Lepisosteus oculatus: one gene and its partners. The protein of the gene in region 1 purifies or fractionates together with the protein of each later gene. This does not show direct contact. Links are inferred from orthologs where the notes say so. Each region holds a gene or a part of one and is shown on either strand. Other genes may lie near its edges.

Region 1 (7,126 bases):
GCGTCTCGCTTTCCCTGAGCCGTCTTTTCACTGTGACCTGTTAAGAGGAACTCCGCTAGATTCCCAGATGCCTTTTCCGATTGAAGCCACTTCCCTTTGCCTGTTTTGCTTTTCTTCTTTTCCAATTAAAACATCCTGTCAAGGTGTATAAAATAACGAGCTGGGAAGAGCCACTGTGCCAGAGGGCAAGCAAACAACAAAATCAGACACGTGGACAGATTAGGAAGATGAAAGCGACAACTGTGTGAATTCAATTTTACTTTTTTCATTTTTTAAATGATTCAAAAAGCTCATGAGCTTATAGAAATTATTGTTATATAGTGATCAGGGTGCCTGCTCGTTTCAATATACCCTAGTCTTAAAAACATGCTTTCTGTGGTTTGGTTTTAGTATAAATGGTGATAAAAACGTGGTCATTCTGAAAATCCCCTCATGTACAACATCTTCCTTTCACTGGCCTGGTATATGTTTTTGCCTTCCACCGGCTCTCACCTGCGGTGTATACACAGGTATATTTATATGAGTATATATACAGTATTTAATACATCTTCAGAATCACATTCAGTTAAATACTCTCCAACACAAAATGATATAAATTCTGACACATGGTGAGCCGTGGTGTAGCTAAGTGAGCAGAGCAGCCATGTGTGATGCAGTTCGCTTCAGGCAAGCGCAGATAGTGGCTGCTGTGTGTTGTGCTCTGGTTACTGTAAGCGCAGGACCTGTTTTGGCCCGATCCTGATGTTTGTGAGTGTATTCCCAGCTCCGTGGCTTCCTGACCGAGGTACTGATTGACCAGCTGCCCAATCTGGCCGAGCTCCAGCGCTTCCTCAGCCAGCTGGCCATCACTGACCCCGCACCCCCTAAGAAGGACCTCATTCTGGAACAGGTAAAGCACCGCATTATAAGAACTAGTCCCCTACCAAGCAAGTGAGTGACTCCTTTCTGCTTGACAAGAAGGCATCACTTCACCTACTGTGTTCTTTAAATCGCGGTGATGTTTCTTCCTTGCCTGTTCTTTTTTTATTTCACCATGCCTTGATCTGTAGATCCCGGAAATGTGGAATAATATTATGAAAGAGAACTCTGGGAAGTGGAAGGCCATTGCTAAGTACCAAGTGAAGCAAGCATTCAGCCCCTCTGAAGAGGACCTGAGGCAACAGGCACACAGGTAAGGCAGAGGGGCAGGAGTGTGAGGACTTTGCAGAGGGAGAGTGCGGCCTACACAAACATGCCTCAGTTTATGCAGCAGCATATAACTGTGACCTGCCACTGAGATCTATAGGGGGTAGTGCCCTAGCAGAATAAAAGTACAATCAAAGCATTTGTCTCATGTGTAAGAAAGGGCATCAGCAGGTACTTGTGTGATAAGGCTTTCTCCTTAAACACTTGATTTGGGTCTGAAAGAAGAATGTTTAGTAACAAAGCTGTTCATTGTGGTGGTGATGGTGGTGGTGGGGAGCGGTGTTAATTGGGATAAAGGCATGTGCTCTCTTGACCAATTTACCCCCTGGCACAGCTTGCTTACTAAATATCTGGAAATATTCTGAAACACAACTACTTCCCCTTTCAGAGCCACATGTAGTATTTAATGATCAAGTCAAAATATGACACAGATGCTTACTTTATTCTCCCAGGCACTGTATTTCTTACCCCATTAAGGACATTTGTATTTATTAAGGGCTGCTTAAAAAAAGCCTTAGTACTGTATTAGTTCAGGTGGGTAGCTGCGTCAGCATGCGTAGGCTGCAAAGGAACAAGTTATAGGTTTATTCCCTGCTGAAAAAAAGAAGAAAGAGAACACAATGTTTCGGCCGTGGAGCCTTCTTCAGGTGTGAGAGAGACAGGGCAGTCACTCCCTGTCTCTCTCACACCTGAAGAAGGCTCCACGGCCGAAACGTTGTGTTCTCTTTCTTCTTTTTTTCAGCATGGAATAAACCTATAACTTGTCCCTTAGTACTGTATGATGTAAATCTGGAGGAGTGCGCAAAATCCTTGAGAAGCCACTCACCTCGAAGATGCGGCGTCTGAGGTGTGGGTAGAGAGAGATGTGTCCTTCCTCGCGTCACCTTGCCCTCTCTCTCCTGTCAGGCTGGCCCAGACCTACAGTCTGGATGTCATGGAGAACCTCATCCCTGACAAACCCAAGTGCGGCTCCTGTGGCTGTGAGGCCGCCAAGCGCTGCTCCCGGTGCCAGAGCGAGTGGTACTGCCGCAGGTGAGACGCCCCGTCGGGGGAAGGCGCAGTGGGTTCACATCCTGTAGCAGCCCGCGGGCCTAGACAATCCCAGAGTGCTGTGCAGAACGAAGAGCAGCTGCAGCGGACCCAGTGTGACGGTGTCAGCATTTAATACGAAGGCCCACAGTCATGACAAAACCCTCCGGCAGTGTGAGACTCCATTCAGTGTTTGTAAATAATTATTGGACAGTATGAAAATGGGTGGGCAGCCAACCTTATGTGGCTGTATCCCTGCTTCAAAATATTTTAGAAAGTAGGAAGAAAGAAAATTTGGCTTTTTTTCTACTGCATGGTTTTGTAACACTGAGTTTTTTTTTATTTCCTCCCCTCCCCCCCCCTTGCATGTCTGTTGCAACAAAAAACAAATGCAATTAGAATTGGCACCGGCCGAAATCTTTTAATCTGGGTCCCCTAGTATTTTCTAGACTCGCAAGGCTAACCTGTTTTGTCTGCCTGCAGGGAATGTCAGGTGAAACACTGGCCGAAACACAAGCAAGCGTGTGAGCTGATGGCCGAAGCTCTTCACAGACTCCGGGGGGACTTGGACGTCAAGCCGTAGGACTCGAGAAGAGTCAGCAGTGGGTCTAACAGGAAAGACAGCCCAGACTGAACTGAGGTTTTAAAGCACAGGGTCCCAGCAGTCTGCCTGACATGCCCTTCAATATACTGTCAATGTCAGTGCAGTGCTAAAACTAAATGAGTGGTGACGTTGGACAGCTATTGGTGTTCTGAGAAAATTCATCTATTGTTGCACTGGTTTCAGCTAAAACTCCTTTTAATAGTGTCTAAGTCACATAGCTTTGATTGCTGTACATTTATTAGTAAACTCACAGTAGCACAATAACCACAAGCTCACAAAAATAAAAACAAATGAGGGCGTTTTTGCAGCAGAGAATTGGGGCTTTACTTGTGATCCAAGGCTCCCTGCCAAAGATTAAATGCTAAACAGACACTGTGCAATTATCTACTATATCATGGTGTTCAACATATCCCTCCCTCTTTGGCTGATCAAGATGTGTTATTTGTATTCTTTCCACATGGGAACTGTCTGTTGCTTACTCGTGTCAAAGGACAGGAACATTGGCTCGCTTGTGACATACAGTACATGACATCTCTTCTAAAGATTAATACACACGTCTTCCTTGCTCAGATGTCAGCATGTAGACACATGGCAGACATACCGGTTAAGAAATGGGAGGAGAACATCCATCCAACCCATTTGTCTAAAAGATTCTCAGTGGTTTAACTGGGTAATATACCGAAGGCCATGTTTGCGCAGTGATGGAGAGGCTGTTGCACCCTCTGCCAGAAACCACTAGATGGCCAATGGCAGTAGTTTATTGTCTGTTTGCTATTTCAGATTAAAAGCTCGTCCAAGATCTTCTCTTCTTCAGAAACTCTGGCCTAGAAATACAAACTTGTCTGATTGTGTCTGCGTGCGTTGCTCTCACTGGAAGCAGAACGATGGTGTTACCTCACTCTTGCACATCTGGAAAGAACTGTTCATAGTCTCGGGAGGAGCATCAGCGATTGCAGAACCAACCAGAGGACACAAGAGCTCTACACCGAATCCCTTGGCCATGGTGTAGCATGATTGTGTATATATCTTTGTGTATGTTGTGATACTACAATGTGTACAGTTTGGTGTTTACTACACCCTAATGGAACATGATTACCTGTAAAACATCTCCCTGTAAAAAGAAACTTCTAACATTGACAAGTAATAAATAACTTTCATGCACTAGTCAGGGGAAGTTATTTAACTTTTGCATCTTCCTGAATGTTGTTCTCATTCCCTCCAAAAAAAATCTGTTTCGTTTCTGACCGCCAGTGTTTATTCCAGTATTACAGTATACGGACGGGGCGATGTCTTTCGCTATAATTTGTTGTGTGTGTTGGGTCTTTTTGCTGACACTTATTTGACACCCCTAATCGTTTATTATAGCTGGTTTCAGCGTGTAAGCGGTAAGACGTTGCAGGACTAAACCCGTTACCAGCACCAGCCCGGGAATAGTTAAAAGTACAGATCGTGTGCCCAGCGCCCACCCTCGGGTACAACCCCAGGACGAAAAGTAGGACTTGATGCTTAAGGTGGAACCTCGTGGAAAACCCTTTGAAACATCATTGCTTTTGCAGATGGCTTGCAGTCGACACCAACAACCGGGCTCTGCGCGGTCTCCGTATCTCGCACATGAAGGCTTTGAATGTTCCCCCTTCTCGCTTTTTTTTCCCTTTCGCAACACGTTGCTGAGACGGGACACCACACCTCCTCAACCCACTCTCTCTACGGAAACTTCAGCGGATTCCTTCCAGCATAACAGCGCCCGGCAGATCGCGCCTCGCCTCTCCGTGTGACCGCCGCGACAGCTGCGCCCAGCTCCGGGCTGGAGCACATGAAGACGGCTGCTTGTCTCTCCGGGCTCGTCCGTGCAAGGTTTCGACTTTTTTTTTTTCGGCTGTCCTGCACGGAGGAGAAAATAAAATCACATGAGCGCGGGCAGAAAAAGGGGGCAGAGCTTTCGGAGGGAAAAAAAAGGGTCTCTTTCGTTCGTGTAGCGTTCTTCTGCTTGCATCTACTTTTCGCGAGAGAAAAACCGTTCGTTCTCCGTGTTTCAAGACAATTACTCTCTGTCCTCCTTTCAAGCACCAGCTAGACAGTGCGTGGACAACCGAAGGACCGTATGAAGCTGCCAGACTTTCTGAAAATTCCCTGGCGGTGTTTTAAACCGAGAAGCTCGTCCTGCTACAGCGTAGCCGCTGACAAGCTGCGCCTGTGGTCGCAAACGCGTTTAAGGAGTTAACTCGCTTCGCTTGCTCTCTCTTGTTAGCTGGGGAAATGGACTGCGTTGAATAAAAATACATCTGTGGCAAACTGTGGACGACTGTTATCTTTTTTTCTTCTGCTCCATTGCGTCCTTCCAAGGTTGCCGGCGACAAACACGAACTCTTTTTTGTTTACATAATAACGGAGGATTAGTATTCCAGATCACGAAGGGCATTTTAAATTGCTGCAGCGTTTGAAACTTAACAGTTTTTGTTCCACTGTAGCCACGCCTGTGTGTCGGTGACCTAGATCGAGTCTTGCCTTGGTAAGTGGTGTGTCCCAGCTTACATCTTTACATGCATTATTTATTTTTCGAGGACGACGTGAACGCGACGTGTAATTTTTTACAAATCACGACGGTGAAATATATATATTTTTAAAAGGCTGTTGGAAGTTCGTGGGTTACCCAGCGCTTGAAAACAAGCGGGCTTAGTCTCGGGCAGGCGATGCACAGAGAGGTCTGAACTGATGCTGAAGACTTCACACTATGAAAGCGGGCACGTTGCCGGGGTTTTACTTCGGTCAGGGTTGTAGGTACAGTTGCAAATCCCCCAAAAATCACAGCTCCAGACAGAACGTTATATCCGAGCGTAAACGATTTTTTTTTTCCAGGGAGGAGCAGAAGTGCGATTCATTCCGAAAAGTAGAAGTGGTCGTTCCGCATTTTCGGGTCAGCGTGTTGTCCTGAGGAATGCCCCAGATGGGGACAGCTCCCGGAGGCATCGTGAGATAACGTCCCGCAGCTTCACCCAACTGATTCCCTCCCTCCCGAAGGGATCATTGATTTCTTTTCGCGTTTTACACCCCGCTCAGCGAGGAGAGAAAAAAAGTTTTTAAAAAAATTTATGACCCGTAGTTTAAAATAATGTGAGCGCCACAAAGTGGTTTTTTTTTTTCTCTCGTGATAAAATTCACATGAACGAAGTGTAGCTCGATCTATCAGCGCGGTGTCCCGGGGTCCTCATACCGCCCGCACGGCGGGGAGATGGGGATGTTTCAGCATCTGCGCTTGCCCTTTAAAAATCTGGGATGCGCCTGGCGGCGTTCAAAATGCGTTTCCCACGGAGGGGGCCGCTTCTGTCCGGAAGAAAATAACCGGATTGCACCCAAGCGGTTAAAATAAAATAGTCGAAGCTCTGATAACGAAAATCTCCAGAGTGCGCGGTGGCTCCGTGCATCAATAGAGGCTTTACATTCACTGTTGGAAGCTTTTTTTTTTTGAATTTGCATTTTTAAAAATGTGTGTGTTGGGGAATAAACGTCTATACGTTTTTATACTAGTGGCGAAACTGAACGGTTGTTTATTTTTGCACCAGCTTGTGAGCATGCTTGTCCTACTTGTACAGCTCGGACAGGCTCAGCCATGGGCGCCCCCCAGTGTGGGGCGTGCGTGGCCCTTGGAGGACTGTCACCCCCTCTTCTGTGCTCTCGGCTTCCCGGTGGCGTGGGCGTGGGCGTGGGCGCGGGGCGCGTGAAAGACGCGCGGATCAAGTCGGAGTTTCCCGTGAGCGGAGCGGCGCGCAGGTGGCACCGCGGGGCGCTGAGACGTCAGAGCACAGATCAGCAGGGCGAGCGCGATTAAACTTCGACCTGTTCAGCACTTGTTTTGGTTATGTCCCAGGGTAAATATTTTCTGGACTAAGTTGCAGACTCGTATTAAAAAAGAAACCAATATTGATATTTGTTTGGATGAAAAAGATGTTATGTTAAGTTTCAGCCCCATCGAAAACAATATTACAATTTCGTTTGTAATCAATTTAATGATTATAATGGCGCGTTATTATATACATAACATGAAGTGGCCTGAGAAGAACCCTTTGGGCATTTTAAAATGGGTGTAAGGGGGTATTTGCAGACTATTTCAAAGTGCAAAAATATGAAAGCGGTGCGGACCCTATTTTTATTTAATTTGTTTAATCATAACTTGAATTAATGTAGTAATATGCACCCCTGACTATCTTTTTGTCTTGAATTGTTATGTGTCCTCTCGTTTGTATTGTAATTTTTGTTATTCTGTTAAGCATAAATACGTTTTTTTTAAGTGATTAAACTTCGACAGCGCAT
Region 2 (8,013 bases), on another chromosome or scaffold:
GTAAAATTTTGCTGTGATGTCACTGGAATCACTGAACCAAAACTGCCAGATAATAAAAGTGTAAAATCTAGCATTTGTGGTTACATAGTGTTCCAGGAGAGCCTTGCAAACATATCATATCAAAAACACAATAACCTAAATCAATCAAGGGTTTTAAACTACAGTAGACGGGCCAGACCTTTCAAAGAATAAAGATAGAATGAGGAAAACAGGAGTGATAGAACCATTAGGAAACTACCATCATAACAGAAAATACTTTGAGGTATATTTAAAAAGTATAGAGGCAGAGTCATATCTCTGGAAAGAAGATATCAAAGAATGAGTCAAAGGATAAAAGAAATAGAATGTTAATGCACATTTTTCACTAAGATGTGTCTAAATCAAACCGATCTAGATCAATAATGATAATCTAAATTATCATAGATCAATATATCTTACATCTATTGCATACGATGTTATGAAGGTTAAAAATAAAACTAAACGAGGAGACAATTAGAGTTCTACTAAGTACTCAAAGCTTATGATGTAGTATTATATACATATAAATTATATTTATATGTGAACTTTCAAAAATGGCTTTGATGACATTTGGCTTAAAAGGATCATTTTTAAACTGAAGGTCATAGACATTGGCAGTAAGAAAACAGAAAAATAAGGAGTGAATACTCATATTAGGGTGATGTAATGAGTGAACCACCATGGGATCTGTGTCAGATCCACTGCTCTTCAATTTGATTTCAATTATCTAGGTTATGGTATAGTTATAGTAGTGGTAAACTAGTTTGGAGTTTGAAGTTTGGAAAATACAGTATCATAGAGTTAAAAGCATTAGAAAATAATGAAAATGAAAATTCAAGAAAATAGCTAGCAATTAAATTCAGAAAACCTTAGACAAAACTCATAAAACACCTGGCTGTTGTCATTTAATGAACGCATGGCATGTTACAGTACTTGTAGTTAACAAAAATATAAGTAATATACAAGATGGAAAACACTGGATTGAAGAAGCCAACTATTAAGACGATAAAGAAGATGTTGATTCCTTTCAAGATCGTGAAGGAAAACAATATCAATGTTAGAGTTGTTTAGAAGCCACTGACCAAAAAAAATCAGACCAACACATCTTTTACTTTACAAGTGTACTGTTTAAAGGTTGGAGAGGTGAACTACACAGAATTATATTCAAGTTGTTATGCAATCTGAAATTTGGCTTTTGGAGTAGCAGATAACACCTCTGGCAACCACAGGAATGTGTCCATGAGTTATAAAAGAGTTATAAAGGACAGCACTGTTTGCTGTCAGTATTTTAAACTTTTTAATATGTGTCAGTGTGTGGCAGATGGTCGAAAGTGCTGTATATTAATTAATCAGATACACTTAATAAGCACAAGCATTGTTATCCAGATTTTTCAGGGCTCATACAGGCAGTCGATGACCCGAAACTAATCTAAAATCTTTTAATTAAATGATTAAGAAACACTAAGGAAAGCCTTTCGATTCTTAATTTACGGAGGTTTTGTGGTCTCCTTCAGAAGCTTGGGGCCTTCCTCAAAAGGACACAAATGTGTGGGTGAAGTGCCAGGAAAAAAAATTCAGATAACTGACCAGACCCACTGGCACTCTTTGTTCTTTTATTTCACTGAATGTCCATTAGGAAATTGCATTTGTAAAACTTGGTTTCATTCTAAATGCAGCTAACTCTCTACTAAATTACTAGGAATGACAGAAGCACCCAGGACCATTAAAACTGCTTGAGACGAGCCCTCATGCTACCTCAACAGGAGTTTCTGTCAGGAACAGTTCTTTCTGGCCCCTATGCGGACGACACAATCTGGAAAGTGAAGAAACAATAGGGAAAAATATCATGCAGGAGTGGGGCAGGAGACAGGGGGGCGTGTCCAAGGTGAACAGGTGTCCAGGGGAAGTGAGTCCGGGGCGAATAATCCAAGCATAAATCCAAAAGGGAAGTCCAATACGGGAGGCAGAGTCCAAGACCAGGGGATCCAAAATAATTAAAAACCAGAACCGGGTCAGGACCGGCGGGGCAGGGGATCAGGAACAGATATTCCTGGACCCCGGGCTCTCACGAAATGGGATTCAATGAGAAGCCTCGGGCAAATGGCTGCGTCTGGCTTTAAAGGTGGAACTAAAGAGGGGCTGGAATAAGGAAGAGGTGTAAACAATGGGGGAAACGAGGAAGGGCTGGAGCACCCTTAAGAGGAGGAGTAACGATCGTGACAGTTTCTGGATAATAATAATAATAATAATAATAATAATAATAATAATAATAATAATTCCTTACACTCATTTATTGCTGGACACTCCACTGTGCTTTACAGGTAATGGGAACTCCACTCCATCACCAATGAGCAACCCCATCTGGATGATGCGACAGCAGCCATAGTGCGCCAGAATGGTCAACACACACCAGCTATCAGTGGGGAGAAGAACAGAGTGATGAAGCCAATTCATAGATTATTAGGAGGCCATTAAAGGCCAAGGATAATTTGGCTGGGATGCCGGGGTTACACCCCTACTTTTGGGATTTTTAATAACCACAGAGAGTCTGTGACTCCGGGAATATGCCAACATCACTTTACCCTCGTACTACACTTTTTTAAAAGCACAAAGTTCTCTGTCATATTAAAATACTTCATAATAAAACAGGAAAAAGGCAAAACAGACTTAAAGCTATTTTAATTTTTGTAGAAAATTATGGGGAACATGCAGCATTTTCTAAATGAACTAGCCTCTGATTGACTGTGAAAAGAAAATTACCCATTGTTGCTTTTTGTGATTATCCCATAATGAACTGTCCCAATGGGATCCTCTTTCCAATTCAGACTGAATTTATGTATCTCTTATCTCAAAGGATACATTTAGAAAAAATGTACAGTAATACTTTCCTAATCTAGCCTACCCAAAGTAATTGAATAACCCTACACACAAACGGTCTTGCCCCAATCAAGCACTAGCTGCAGGCAATCCCTGCAAACGCTCAGATCCATTAACCAATCAGGACAGCTCACGGTTACTGCACCCTCCACATCCCGACAGATTTAAACCCTCTCCTACCCTCATTTCATTGCTCAGTATTGGAAGTTCCTCAGGAACGCCTTGCCTCGCCTTTCTCTCTCGCGCATCCTCGACTTCATTTATCGTCTAGCGATTTGGCGTTGGTAGTACCGATTACTTTCCTCGTTAACATCTTTTCTGACCTATTTGCAGAACTCCGCATAGGGTCCATTAACTACAACAGTGCTGCATGCCTTACACTTCCAGCAGTGGCCTTAGCTTTCCCAGGAGGTCTACCATCACACCTGCTTACACCTGCTTAGCTTCAGTGGGTCGCCAGTTGCGAATTGCAGAGAGATATCACTGCTGACATTTTGGAACTTCATTTGTGCTTCTACGGTGTTTGCTGTTCTCTGTTTTGGTTTCATCTGCAAACCTGACTAGAGGTCTCAGTACAAATCCCTGTGGTAGTCCCCTAATTACAGGTGCATCCCCCATATTTGAGCATTCACCCCTTATCAGGCCTACTGTCTGTAATTTGAGAATTCATCTTTTATTAGGCACTTTATCAAAAGCATTCTGAAAATCCACATACATTGTATCAGACACTGTTTGCTCTGCATTTATCTGTTATTGTTGTTCTTAGTTCAAAAACCTCTAACTAGGAAAGACCTACCTTTACTAAATCCACATTGACTGTTACCTAGGAATTCTTTCTATTTACTATAGGTGAACATCTAGATTCTAGTTTTAATAATTGCTTTCATTACCTTTCATGTGACAGATGTCAGTCTTATTGGCCTACAATTACTTGGGTCAGTTTTGCCTCCCGTCTTGTAGATGGGCACTACTTGGACAATTTTTCAGTTCAGGGTCTTGAGAGACTGTTAAAGGCCTTGTGTCAATGGTTTCTGATGTCAGTATAGGGCCTGGCAATTTATTAATAAATAAGTGTTTTCTTCTTCTGCCTGAGTCATGTAGCCATGTTGTTGGTTTCTTCCCTAGTGAACACCTGAATGAAATACTCAATTAGCACATCAGCCATTTACTGTATCTTTTAATATCTATATTTACTAACAGTTTACTGGGATACATTTTACTCTCCCATCATGATTCTTTTGCTGTTGTAGTACTGAAATATTTTTTTTATTATTTATTTTAGCCTCCATTGCAAAATACCTTTCAATATCTCTCTTGGCTTTTTTAATATCCCTTTTCATCTGTACTTGCAGTTCCTTGTGCTCCATGTCTTTAACTGGATCCTGATGTTTAATTATTTTATAAAGTCCATTCCTTTCCCTTAGAGTTTTTCTGATTGATTTTTCTAACCATTCAGAATACTATTTATTAGCTTTTGTCTTACACACTCTTGGGATCTGTTTTGTGCTTCAAGGAGACTCTGTTTACATTTTTTCCATCCATTCTTCACTGATTCCATACCTGTCCTTCCCCACTTCACTTCTTATGTGATCTGCCTCATCCCTTCAAAGTCTGCTTTCCTGAAATTGTAAATATCTGATGTGGTTGTGGACTTCGTAAGTACAGTTTCAAGGTATACTCCAAAGCACACTATACTGTATCACAGTTTCCTAATGGTTCTATCACTTCAGTTTACCCCAGTCTGTCTTGATTGTCTGAAAAGAGGAGATCAGTACAAGCTTTTCCTCTTATAGGTGGTCCGACAAATTGGGTAACAATGCAGTCATTAACCATGTCTACCACTTCTGTTACAGCTGCTGTTTTTCCTCTTCATTTACAGTGTATGACAATACCACAATATGCAATCCAATATTGAAAATGATTATAAGGGAGAAAAGTAGATGTATACAGTATATTTCAGTATTTGGGGGTTGAATACCCCTTTAGTTCTCTCATGTATTTGCTTCCGGGGGGTTTGATTCGCTGCAGATGACATCAGTTCTGAAAAAAAAAAAGCACCGTGGTTGCCAATGCATTCTCTCCTCCCTGGGTCCTAAGCATGACACAACGTCTGGGGTATAAAAAGAGCGAACCACTCCTTCCAAGCTTACTCCCCGTCTGGTGGTAGCTGTTCTGTTCTCGTATTCAGGAGGACAGGGGGCTGAGGATGGCGTCGTTAGTAGAAACGGCAGACACCGAGCCTACTTGTAGTGGCAATTTGATATCTTCTCCTTCATCTTCAAGCCTTTCTCACCGGTTTCTCGACAATAAATTCTATCTCCTTGTGGTTATCGGAGAAATTGTTAGCGAGGATCACCTGAGATGTGCCATTGCAGATATAGAAAGAGGTAAGAAGGGAGTGTGTGCAATTCAATATTTCATATACTAAAAAAAAGTTAAAAAAGTAAATTATTTTATTGCGCGTTGCTAAAGACACAACAACCTAAATGGCAGATTCGCCTCAAAAAATGGTTTTTAAATTATATTTAGAGGTTATTTCTGCTTTTTAGATAATTTCAGTGTAACCTTGAACAAACCTCTGCTGTGCATCTAATAAAATTTTCAGTATATAGTTCTGTTTGGATCCGTTTGCAGTTTATGCGATTGACTTTTCTCTTAAATATCGTTATTATTTCATTGTTTATCTTTGTATTGTTAAAACTGCTGCACAGCCCCTCCCTTTCGGTAACTGTAAATCTGCGGGTGCCGCAAATCAAACAGATGGCATCAGCCTATAGTGCATTCTTTCCAGTTAGGTGATGTGCAACTACCAGCTATTATATCAAAAATGAAATTGAATAGACTTTCAAATAAATTAAAACTGCGTGAATCATCCTAGTACATGTTGCGAATGACGACTCTAACTTGATGCTGCGCATTCATGATTCAGCATTTTGTTTCTAGTATTCTGTCGCTAAGTATTTTCCGAAATTCGTGTTGAATAAGCTCTTTGTCGCATTACCTATTGGAACTACCTTTCAAGATTGCGTTATTGTTCATTTCACATTACGTTTGTTTTCTATGTGTTTTATACTCTGAGGGATTTAATTCTAAGAACTATTTTTATCATAACAGACAAACATGATTAATTTGGTCACGTTTTTCATTATTTTTCTTCTAAAATGAAATTCTGAAAATCTATTCTAATTAGAATGTAAAATATGTCCCAGGGGTATTTCAAATGCATGGGTACTGGGCATTTTAATACATTTCATAATGTAAAGCTGTACTGTAAATAATCATTCACCTTTGTTGCAGATAAACTGAGTCTGAACAGTGTTTCAGTGGTTATTGTGTTACGCATTTGTGTTTTTGAGATGCACTTAAGGTACTTGAATAATGGAACACTGTTCAATATGATGCAAAAAAATAAAAGATGAACTCTTAAGATTAGAAGGTGATTGAAACATACAGCTGCGCCTGCCTCACACGGTGAAATACTTCATCATTCATTCATCCCCTGCATTTCGGCTTGTCTCCGATACCGGCATGTGGGCGTGGTTCAGTCCGCAGTGCGGTCCCTACGGAAACTCACTGAGGACTTTCTTCCGCCACAGGGCGTTCCACAGACAGGCAGGGCATGTCTCCTTGACACCTTGACAGCGCTAGAAGCTTTAGTTTGACAGTATTCCTGAATAACAAAATGCAATTTGCGCCGTCATAAATAAAAAGAAGACAAAGAAAACACGACTGCTTTGAAAAAAAAGCAATAGAAATATAACCAGACGTACTGTGCTGGGAGTCTGGGACAGTATGCAGCTAGGTTAGATACCACTTAATGACTCACCTACTGTATAGCAAAGGGTTTACTTCTTTATTGCTCTGTGTAGGCTATGCAGTCATAGACTGCTCAAACACAGAGCATAAATTCCAGAAAGGACATTATTACTTATTTATCTGGATGACTCTTTTATTCACAGCGACCTACATTTGCATCCATAGGAGAAGTACAGTACCTCGCTCAAGAATACAACAGTAGTATCTCACTTGAGATTTGAGCCCACTACCCTTCAGTTATAATTCCACAACCCTAACCTGCAGTCTGTCTACTGCTGTTTGGCTGTAGATTCAGATGGGCTGTTGTTTAACAAAATATAAATGATTGGTAAGATGCAAGAACACTGCAGAATTGTTTTAAGAATAATTTTAATTAGATGCATACTGTAGTTTATGGTTCTTAAATTTTCTCAGATTTTTAAAATGAGAGTTTTAATAATAGAGACCCAACAAAGAAATTACTGTACATAATTAGAGACCAGTATGGTTTCCAAAAGTTAATGCTGTAAAAATGTATCCAACAACTGCAGTATATCTACAACAGTAAATTAAAGTGAAACTATTTTTCACAGCAGATTACTAAATGTCTGATTCACCTCTGATAAAAACTAAAGACTACAATTTTTTTAATTCAACTGATTACAATATATTCATTTTCCAGGATATATAAATCTATCAATATATAAATGTACCAGGAATTAATTTTTTATATGCTGGTCATAATTTAGGAAAATGAGTCATTGCAGTATACTTTTAGAAACAGATGTTTATCAGCATTTCTTTTTCAAAAATCCAGTTCAGTGAAATCTGTGATATATCAGAAAACATGGCATGTTTTAGATGAAGAAGTCTGATATTTTACTATTGCATTCCTCAACACTGTATTTAATAACAAAAGATGACTCATCCTTTCTTTGTATGCCATTGAACCTGATTAAGAAACAAACCTACATTTTAAGTGGCAGATCTAATGCAGCCTTTTGAATGAGTTGAATTAGGGCTTGAGTTAAGTTGATGGCATTCTTGACACAGTGCTGGTAACTGAATCAACAACATCTGTGGTGGCTTTCTAGTGTTTTTTTCTGAAATATTAACATTTAGGACTAATGAAAATGTCACCAAAGTACATAAAATATATTTTACATTTATATAAAAATAAGGTTGTTAATATTATATGTTCTAAAGACCTTTTCATGTACTGTATGCCCTATTGTTGATTCGGGATAACCCCCCCTAATGGCCAGAATTTGGAATTTTGAGGACATTGTCAAAACATTGTTTTGCTACTGCACAAAGAGACAC
Region 3 (7,424 bases), on another chromosome or scaffold:
TCACGGTAGGGAAAGAAAGGAAAACGTGCCATAGAAAATAAAAACCATAGATCTAACAATCACGGTGATTTTACATACATTACAACCATAGGTTTATGTCATAGATGGTTAACTTGTTGGCATGTGTCATGTCTTAGTATTATTCATATCTAATGAGGCTCATATGTTTATGGATATTGGTTGTCTATAAAATGTTAAGGGTACGAGCTAAACTGTAACAGCGCTTGAACTCGGCAGACGGGATCACTGGAGGTCAAAGTCACCGTGCATGGTCACATGATCCCCGGAAAAACAAGGCGTTGTATCTCGGGAACGAAAACAGCACAGACGCTACTTTTAATGGCACAAACTGGCAGAAACGTAGCACTAACGAATGAGGTGGGTTTCATCGTTTGTGCTGTCTGTAGGGGGCGAACTTCACGGAGCTTTTACCGTGCCTTTAAATATTCAGTGGACTTGAGCACGACCCGTGGCTACGCCTCTGCTTTAATGTCTAAGAGGCCTGGTAGCAAAACTGGATTCATGCTGTTCCTCTGGCGGGGTTTGTCTTGTCCCGCTGAAGGAAATGTGCAGTTCAGAGCGTGATCTTTAGGGAAAACAAGAATTTGAGTCCCCATCTGTCATCCCTGCATCCTCTGTGCTCAGAGGCAAGTGCGCTCGTCTCGTTATCTGGATGTTGGCGGGTGGTGGGGAGGAAGGGGTGTAGCACAGCAGAGGGGAGGGTCTCTGTTCCCAAGCCCAAAACAATGTGCCGTGTGTCCCCTGAGTCCTTCCGCGACGGCGGTTTATCTCTGCTCTGTGTGCTCACTTCACTCAGACGTTTTGAACAGACCCGTATCAACAGCTGTTGATCTGTGTGGATCGATTCAACCTCTAGTAGCAATGTCGTACAGTTCACATAGAAACTCAAGCTTCAAGGTGCAATGGCTTGCTTTTCACCTTGTATTTGAATGCAGTATTGCTTGAAGAGGAACTGCAATGCTATTATTATGTTTAGAAAAAGTCGGCGTGGATGAGTGCATTTGTACAATGTACACAGTAACTTGTAAAAACCTCCAATTTCCAACACAAAGTAAATTAGATTTCCAGGATTGCACAGGGTCAATCCTGCAATTCAGAACAAGGCAAAAACTTCTGCTAATGTGAAGCGGTCTTATTACATTCTAAAAAAGCAGGCTTGTGAATACCTAATACATGAAAAATATTGCTCTCAACTCCGAGTCAGTTTTGCCTACGAATACTACTTACAGTACTTGTTAACTCTGCACAGAGGCCACACTGGAACATTTCTACTGTAAAATGTGTGCTGCACAACCTGTTCTTATTCACTTATACATCACACTACATTAGTCACTACAGTGACTAGCGAGCAGGAAGGGGCTGCTTCACATCACAATTCACAAGAACTCTCACTCCCGGCGGCAGCGAGACCAGCGGTTTGCGACAACAAGGTGAGCATACAGTACGTTTCTGGAATTTGTGATTAATTTGGAATTTGTCAAATTTTGCAATACCATCAATTAATTAATTTTGTTACCGGGATTTAATAAATGGTCTGAGAAATTGGGACTGCAGTTCTCCTTTAAAACAAGCTCTGGACAGCATTTATATATAATCTATGAAAAAGACAAAGATATTGGCTATTCCAAGCAAGTTAGATGAATACAGTATAATTGGGAAAATCCTAGACATGTCACAGAATGTTTTATGGATGCTGATTCAACCACTAGAGCAAATCATTAGTTCATGTTGATTTGGCGGGATGCTAAAAAGCAAAACTAAACCAATCCAAACAAAGCAAAATCAATCCACCTTCTAAATGGCTCATTTTAACTGCATAAAAGAGTCAGGTCCAGAGACAGGTAACTATTGGAAAAAGAAAAAATTACAAATGTGACTCCATGTTATTGTCCTATGTAAATAAGCCCTGCAGGTAATTAAAAGATTACTTATGATGACATTGTAAAAAGTTCTAACTTTGTGTTTTGATCATTTAGTTTACTTCACCAAATATGATGAGTGCATGCTGTGAATAGGTCAAGCTCACACATCGGAACAAATACTTAGATATACTCTATAAACTGGGGGAAGTTCATTGTATATTCAACTAAGGGCCAAAATGATTTATTTAATAAAAGAGAGGAATGTAGTACCCCATTTAAGAATCCAGTTGTGAAATTTGGATCTCATGCAAGACTGATTCATCTCTATGGTCACAGAGACAACATTTAAAACAGGATTTACCATGAATCCACAACTTAATGCTATGAGTCATTGGAAAGAAAAGAATGTTCAAAATTAACAAGCTTTTCTTTTGCCACACAACATATAATCAAACCAGATGTTCCATCTCAATGTCTGGATACAGAGCACATCTGGATAATATATAACAGAATTAGTACTAGCTTGCCAAAAATAAAATAAAATATAACTAATGTACAGTGTATTTATGTTAATGTAAAAGACTTAGTAGCTATACATATTTTGCAACAAGTCTTCATAAATTCATCATCTGAAAAAGTGGAATTTGTTTCAGCTTGGAATGAAGTCTGATTTTCCCTGGCTCTTGAAATGTAGGCATGCTACACTCTGGGCAGAGTTGCTACAGTTATGCACATTTATTATGTGTATTTTCATCATCAGCTACCACCCAAACCCACGTACACTGAGATGGCAAGTACCATTCATAAAATACAGTGGGCTCAAAACAATATTGTGAGGTAAGCCATGAGAAAAGAGTTTCTACCAGTTTTAAAAATTAAATCTATCAGACACACTGAAATATAAAAAAGGGATCATATGCATCAGGCATTGGTTGACTGTATAAAGTTTGCTACAGAAAATAATATGTTCAATAGCACCCCAGATCTTGGACACATTTCTGAAAAATACCTTGATAAATTCTTCCCTGCTTGTGTCACTGGCAAATATTTTAATCTAAAAAACAAAGAAGAATAAAAAATAGAAACACATACTTTGCCATTGATATTGGTATAATTTATGAGCATACAACATACCAGGAAATAACTGGAAGCTAGCACATATTGTGGGATCACTTGCATATTCTAAATACCTTCACCACTCCTTTTCCAGATACTATATGTCAAAATCAGCTTAATTCTTTAGCCTTAATAAATCCTACCATTTCATGTATTGAAATCACACCAGCCTGGGGTAAAAATCACCTGAAAAAGCAATGTATTATCAAGGACTGTAGCACTGTATGGTGGAAGCACTGTCACTAATTGATGCTTCAACAGCAATATCATAATTATATTGCACTAAGAAACAGAGTATTCATCAGAAGCACTTTATTTTTTATTGGTAGGTATTGATTCCTATCATATTGGTCACATGTGATCACCTGTTTTTATTGATCCACTGTGGAATGAAGTCCCCAACTCCAAGACTCTAAGAATTACACAGTTGCTACCAATTTTGAATCATCCTTCCAAAAGCTGGCTCTTTTAATACTGTTTAGTTGGGCTCCATGGGCAAAGGTCTAAGATGATAGAACCATAGAACACTATATTTAAAAGTATATATCCACCCACTTTTTAACTGCTTCTTCCAGTTCAGGGTTTCATGGGAGCTGGAATCTGTCTCAGCAAGCAGCAGGCACAAGGCAGGGTAAACACTTATATATACAGGAACAGGTAACGAGCTTATTCCATGCTGAAAAGAAAGGAAACACAACATTTCGGATGTGTGTCACCTGAAGAAGGCTCCACAGCTGAAACATTGCGTTTTCTGTTACTTATATATTTATCTTTACAGAAATCTATTGATTTCAGAGGAATAACACTAATTCCAACTGAAGTGGTAATGGAAAAAATTAATTTCCACTATGAAAGTTATAAAATGTGCTGCCATAAACACCCAATCGTTGAACAAGGAATGATGTGTGCCATTTCATCTTTTGATTTGAACTGCGTTTCTGATCTGACAATAATTTGTAGGTAAACCACAGTTTTTCACTGTGGAAGTGGCTATCCTAAGAATTATTAATATTCCGAAAGCACTGTTGTCTTTTTTACTTTATATGTGCCAAAGGACCTCCACAAGGTTCCCAATAGCAGGCTTAGCAAACCGAGTTTTGGGTACCTGTAAGAAACCAATTAGCTGTCAAGTAACGGTTGCAAATTCTCAACGAATTATTAATCAAGAAATAGTTTTAAATCAGAGGGAGCATCAGCTATGTCCTGCACGGTTCCAGCAACTCTTGACTCCGTGCTGTGGAGTTTCCATAGGAACCAGCTCCACCAGCCTCACAACGCCTCAGAGCTCAGGCAGTCCCATCACCTTAACCACAGAGCTCAGGCGAATGCGTCACCTATCCCAGAACCCTTTGCGTGTTGGAAAAAAAAACCCCTGAGAAGCAGGGAAGTTTATATGTTGAGTGGAGAGGAGTGGGAATAGGATAGGAGCAACAGGCTGAGGGGAAACCAAGTAAAAGTGGTTTTCGGGGGCAAATTATGAATATTAACTGAAATGCAACGCGATATGTTTTTTCTGGTTTGAAAAAAAACTGTTTTTTTTTTCCTCGCGGGCTCAAACTTCTCATAAGCCCGTTTAGTCTGCCGATTTGTTTTGGCACTAACAAATGGATTTACGTCGAAGCCCAGGCTGCCTCTGCCCCGAGTGAAAAATGAAAATGCCTCTTCCTCTGCTCCAGCTCCTGTGCCGCGGTCTTCTCGATTTCCTGAGGCGCACCGAAGTTGTTTCGTCGCATTGATGTCTCCCTCGCAGTTCGAGTTATGCTTTCCCGAAAGAAAAGTAAAAACGAAGCGTCGAAACCAGCCGAGGTACACGGAAAATACGTAAAAAAGGAGACGTCCCCCCTCTTGAGAAGTAAGTTGAGCTTCAAAATGGGGGGAGAATTAAATTCTCTCGTTTTCCTGCAGTCCTCAGATGCAAGTGTTTACATTGCTAAAAAAGTTATCTAACTTGCATATACCAATATGCACTGCTTATGTTATTCTTAATTCGAAATGTCCCTGCTCTTTCTACGAGTCTAACGTCTAATGTATTGAACAGCATTAGCGTTGTGCATTCCCGATGTTATAAAAGATGGGATGGGAGTGGTTGCGTTTGGATGCGAGAGCCACAGTTCACGGTTTAAAAAAAACACAAGGTCCTCACTGTGCCCTGCCGAAACTATTCAAACCCCGTCACAGTTGGCTATTTTCTCATTCACTTTATACATTCCTTTAATTTGAAGATGTGGGTACAGTGCTGCGAATAGAAACTTTTTTAACGTATTTCAGTTTATCAGATATTTTTCTCCCTTGCTAACTGCTGCCAGGATTAAAATCTTCAGATTTATTTTATTTGCTGCAATTCACAAGTCGTTAAGGGTAACTCCCCTCCCACCCCCATCTCCATTTAATTGGTCACTTTTTAGGATTTGTGGGAAAAAAATGCATTGACTTTTTTTTTTTAAATAGGCTATTCGTTTTGTTTTAAAATAATGATTTAAGGTGTCATTTTTGTTTGTATGCTTAGGGTCAGTGTTAAAGATCAAGGCTTGCTTACACTTCAGCTCCACTCTCAGGTTACATGATCTTGCTTAGTGGGTAGAACCAGCTGGGAGATGAAAGCTGTGAACATTCTTCGAGTTTTCTTTTAATGTTGTAGCATATCAAAGTCACTTTTACTCTAATGACTGTGAAGGCTACAAACACTTCACACACAGTGAGAAGCAGCATGTTACAATTTTTTACCTAGAACAACCTTTTTCCTGCATTTCAGTAAATTACCAATAACTTTTCTTTCTTACACATTGCACAGAGCAATCTAAGAATATGAAAAGGTGAGCTCACATAGCCTATTAGTCTAAAATGTCTCAATGTGTTTCTTACCTAGAGATCAGTAAAAGTTTTGACTTCCTGTAGCAGATATCTGTATTCAATGGACTGACTGAGTTCTTCTTAGAACATTTTTTATTGTTATCGAACTGTCCGTTAGCATGTTGGTGCTTCACATGTGTATTTTTTAATTACCTTCTTGGTGTTTTTGTTAAAAGTGTAAAAATGAATATTTGAAGTACATACTCAATAATAACCCTTATTATAATAATCATAAGTGGCTCTCACAAGACATGTAATGTGTCATTTCCTCAGATGTCAGATTATGTTAATGCTAGTTTCTTTACAGTCTCCCTTTAATATCTGTGAAATTATTTTTTTTTTACATTAGCTGAATGCTTTCTTTAAAAAACTACATTCGGCTTACTGAACAAGAGGAATAGTCAGGCTTAAAAAAGAAACTGTTTTCCTGGAAATTCCGCTATATTTATGTAACTGGTTTGTTGAGCCAGTGGCAGGTGATTTGTTTTGCAAAATATGCACTGTTGGCGAAAGATGAGCAAAACAATTTGACTAGGAAATTGCTTTACTCGACCAGCTGGAATTCTTACTTTGTTTGTTTGGTGTATTTTTATAAGGGCCATCATAAGTGTTTTGAGTCTGGTACTAGAGGCGGGGAAGTAAATGCATTAAATGTACAATTTGGAACTGTCCCATCGCTGATTACCATGTGTTACAGTCTTGTATGATCTGGTGTTTTAGCAAAAGTGGAACACAAAACAAGACTTGGTTGAGCTCAGTTGTTCTTCAGAAATGCGGTTTTACATCGGTGTTTGAATAAATTGTATTTTAAGAAGCATGTGTTTTTTAGAAACGCTCTCTGATGGAGACTAAAAAATAACCGGCCGGCTTTATTACCAGCTCCGAGTATGCCCTGGTTTGTGAAGTCGCTGCTGTGAGATATTGTCTCAGGGAGTTGTCCCTGTGTGTTTGTGCTTTCTCTTCGAGTCAGCTGAGCGAGTCCGGTACTGCACTTGCTTCTGAAAGAAAACCATAGGAACTGAACTGTTTGACGATCAAGCAAAAGGCCTGATGGCACTTCGTGTAGTCCAGTTTGCGGTCATGCGGTTTGTTGCCATTGACCAGCGGGGTCCCTCTCCTCTTCACTCCTCCAGATTTGATGCCCTCATTTATAAGACATGGGCCTACCATTCCCAGACGCGCCGAGATCCCTCTGCCGGAGCAGGGTCCCGCAGGGTATCCCGTGGGGCCGGGCGAGCCAGTGGTCTCCCGGAACAAGAGCTTCCTGCGCGGGCCGGTGCAGAGGCCGCCCCACGAGATTGCCAGGCGCGAGAGCAACCGCCTGTCGGCGCCGCCCTACCTTCCCCGCAGCCTGGGAGACCTTCCGCGGGAGTACGGCGGGTCCTCGCAGTCCTTCCTCACCGAGGCCACCCCGATGGCAGAGAATGGCGACGCCGGTGGCGCTGCCCGCTATTTCTATTCTCCTGACCCCTATTACGATGGCCAGCGGCGGCGACACGTGCCAGACCGGTTTCACGAGGACTATAGATACTATGAACACAATAGCGACCACTTCCAAAGAGTACTGCCACCCTC

What was found.
Region 2: the proteins of rassf1 (region 1) and map1b purify together in Homo sapiens (affinity purification with mass spectrometry; 3 studies listed by BioGRID and IntAct, counting the BioPlex papers as one, with this or other methods). This does not show direct contact. The link is inferred for Lepisosteus oculatus from reciprocal best matches to the Homo sapiens genes RASSF1 and MAP1B.
Region 3: the proteins of rassf1 (region 1) and sav1 purify together in Homo sapiens (affinity purification with western blotting; 3 studies listed by BioGRID, with this or other methods). This does not show direct contact. The link is inferred for Lepisosteus oculatus from reciprocal best matches to the Homo sapiens genes RASSF1 and SAV1.

The regions. Positions count from the first base shown.
Region 1 is NC_090699.1:64,638,028-64,645,153, reverse strand, and holds the start of rassf1 (ras association domain-containing protein 1), read left to right. Parts: upstream 1-4,074; 5' UTR 4,075-5,327; intron 5,328-6,596; exon of another isoform or gene 6,597-6,684; intron 6,685-7,126. Other genes in the region: zmynd10 (zinc finger MYND domain-containing protein 10), read left to right, coding at 764-889, 1,050-1,171, 2,092-2,217, 2,698-2,797. UniProt on the Homo sapiens protein: Potential tumor suppressor. Required for death receptor-dependent apoptosis. Mediates activation of STK3/MST2 and STK4/MST1 during Fas-induced apoptosis by preventing their dephosphorylation.
Region 2 is NC_090698.1:24,228,295-24,236,307, forward strand, and holds the start of map1b (microtubule-associated protein 1B), read left to right. Parts: upstream 1-4,997; 5' UTR 4,998-5,101; coding exon 5,102-5,282; intron 5,283-8,013. UniProt on the Homo sapiens protein: Facilitates tyrosination of alpha-tubulin in neuronal microtubules. Phosphorylated MAP1B is required for proper microtubule dynamics and plays a role in the cytoskeletal changes that accompany neuronal differentiation and neurite extension.
Region 3 is NC_090703.1:13,047,356-13,054,779, reverse strand, and holds the start of sav1 (protein salvador homolog 1), read left to right. Parts: upstream 1-4,342; 5' UTR 4,343-4,757; coding exon 4,758-4,851; intron 4,852-6,982; coding exon 6,983-7,424. UniProt on the Homo sapiens protein: Regulator of STK3/MST2 and STK4/MST1 in the Hippo signaling pathway which plays a pivotal role in organ size control and tumor suppression by restricting proliferation and promoting apoptosis.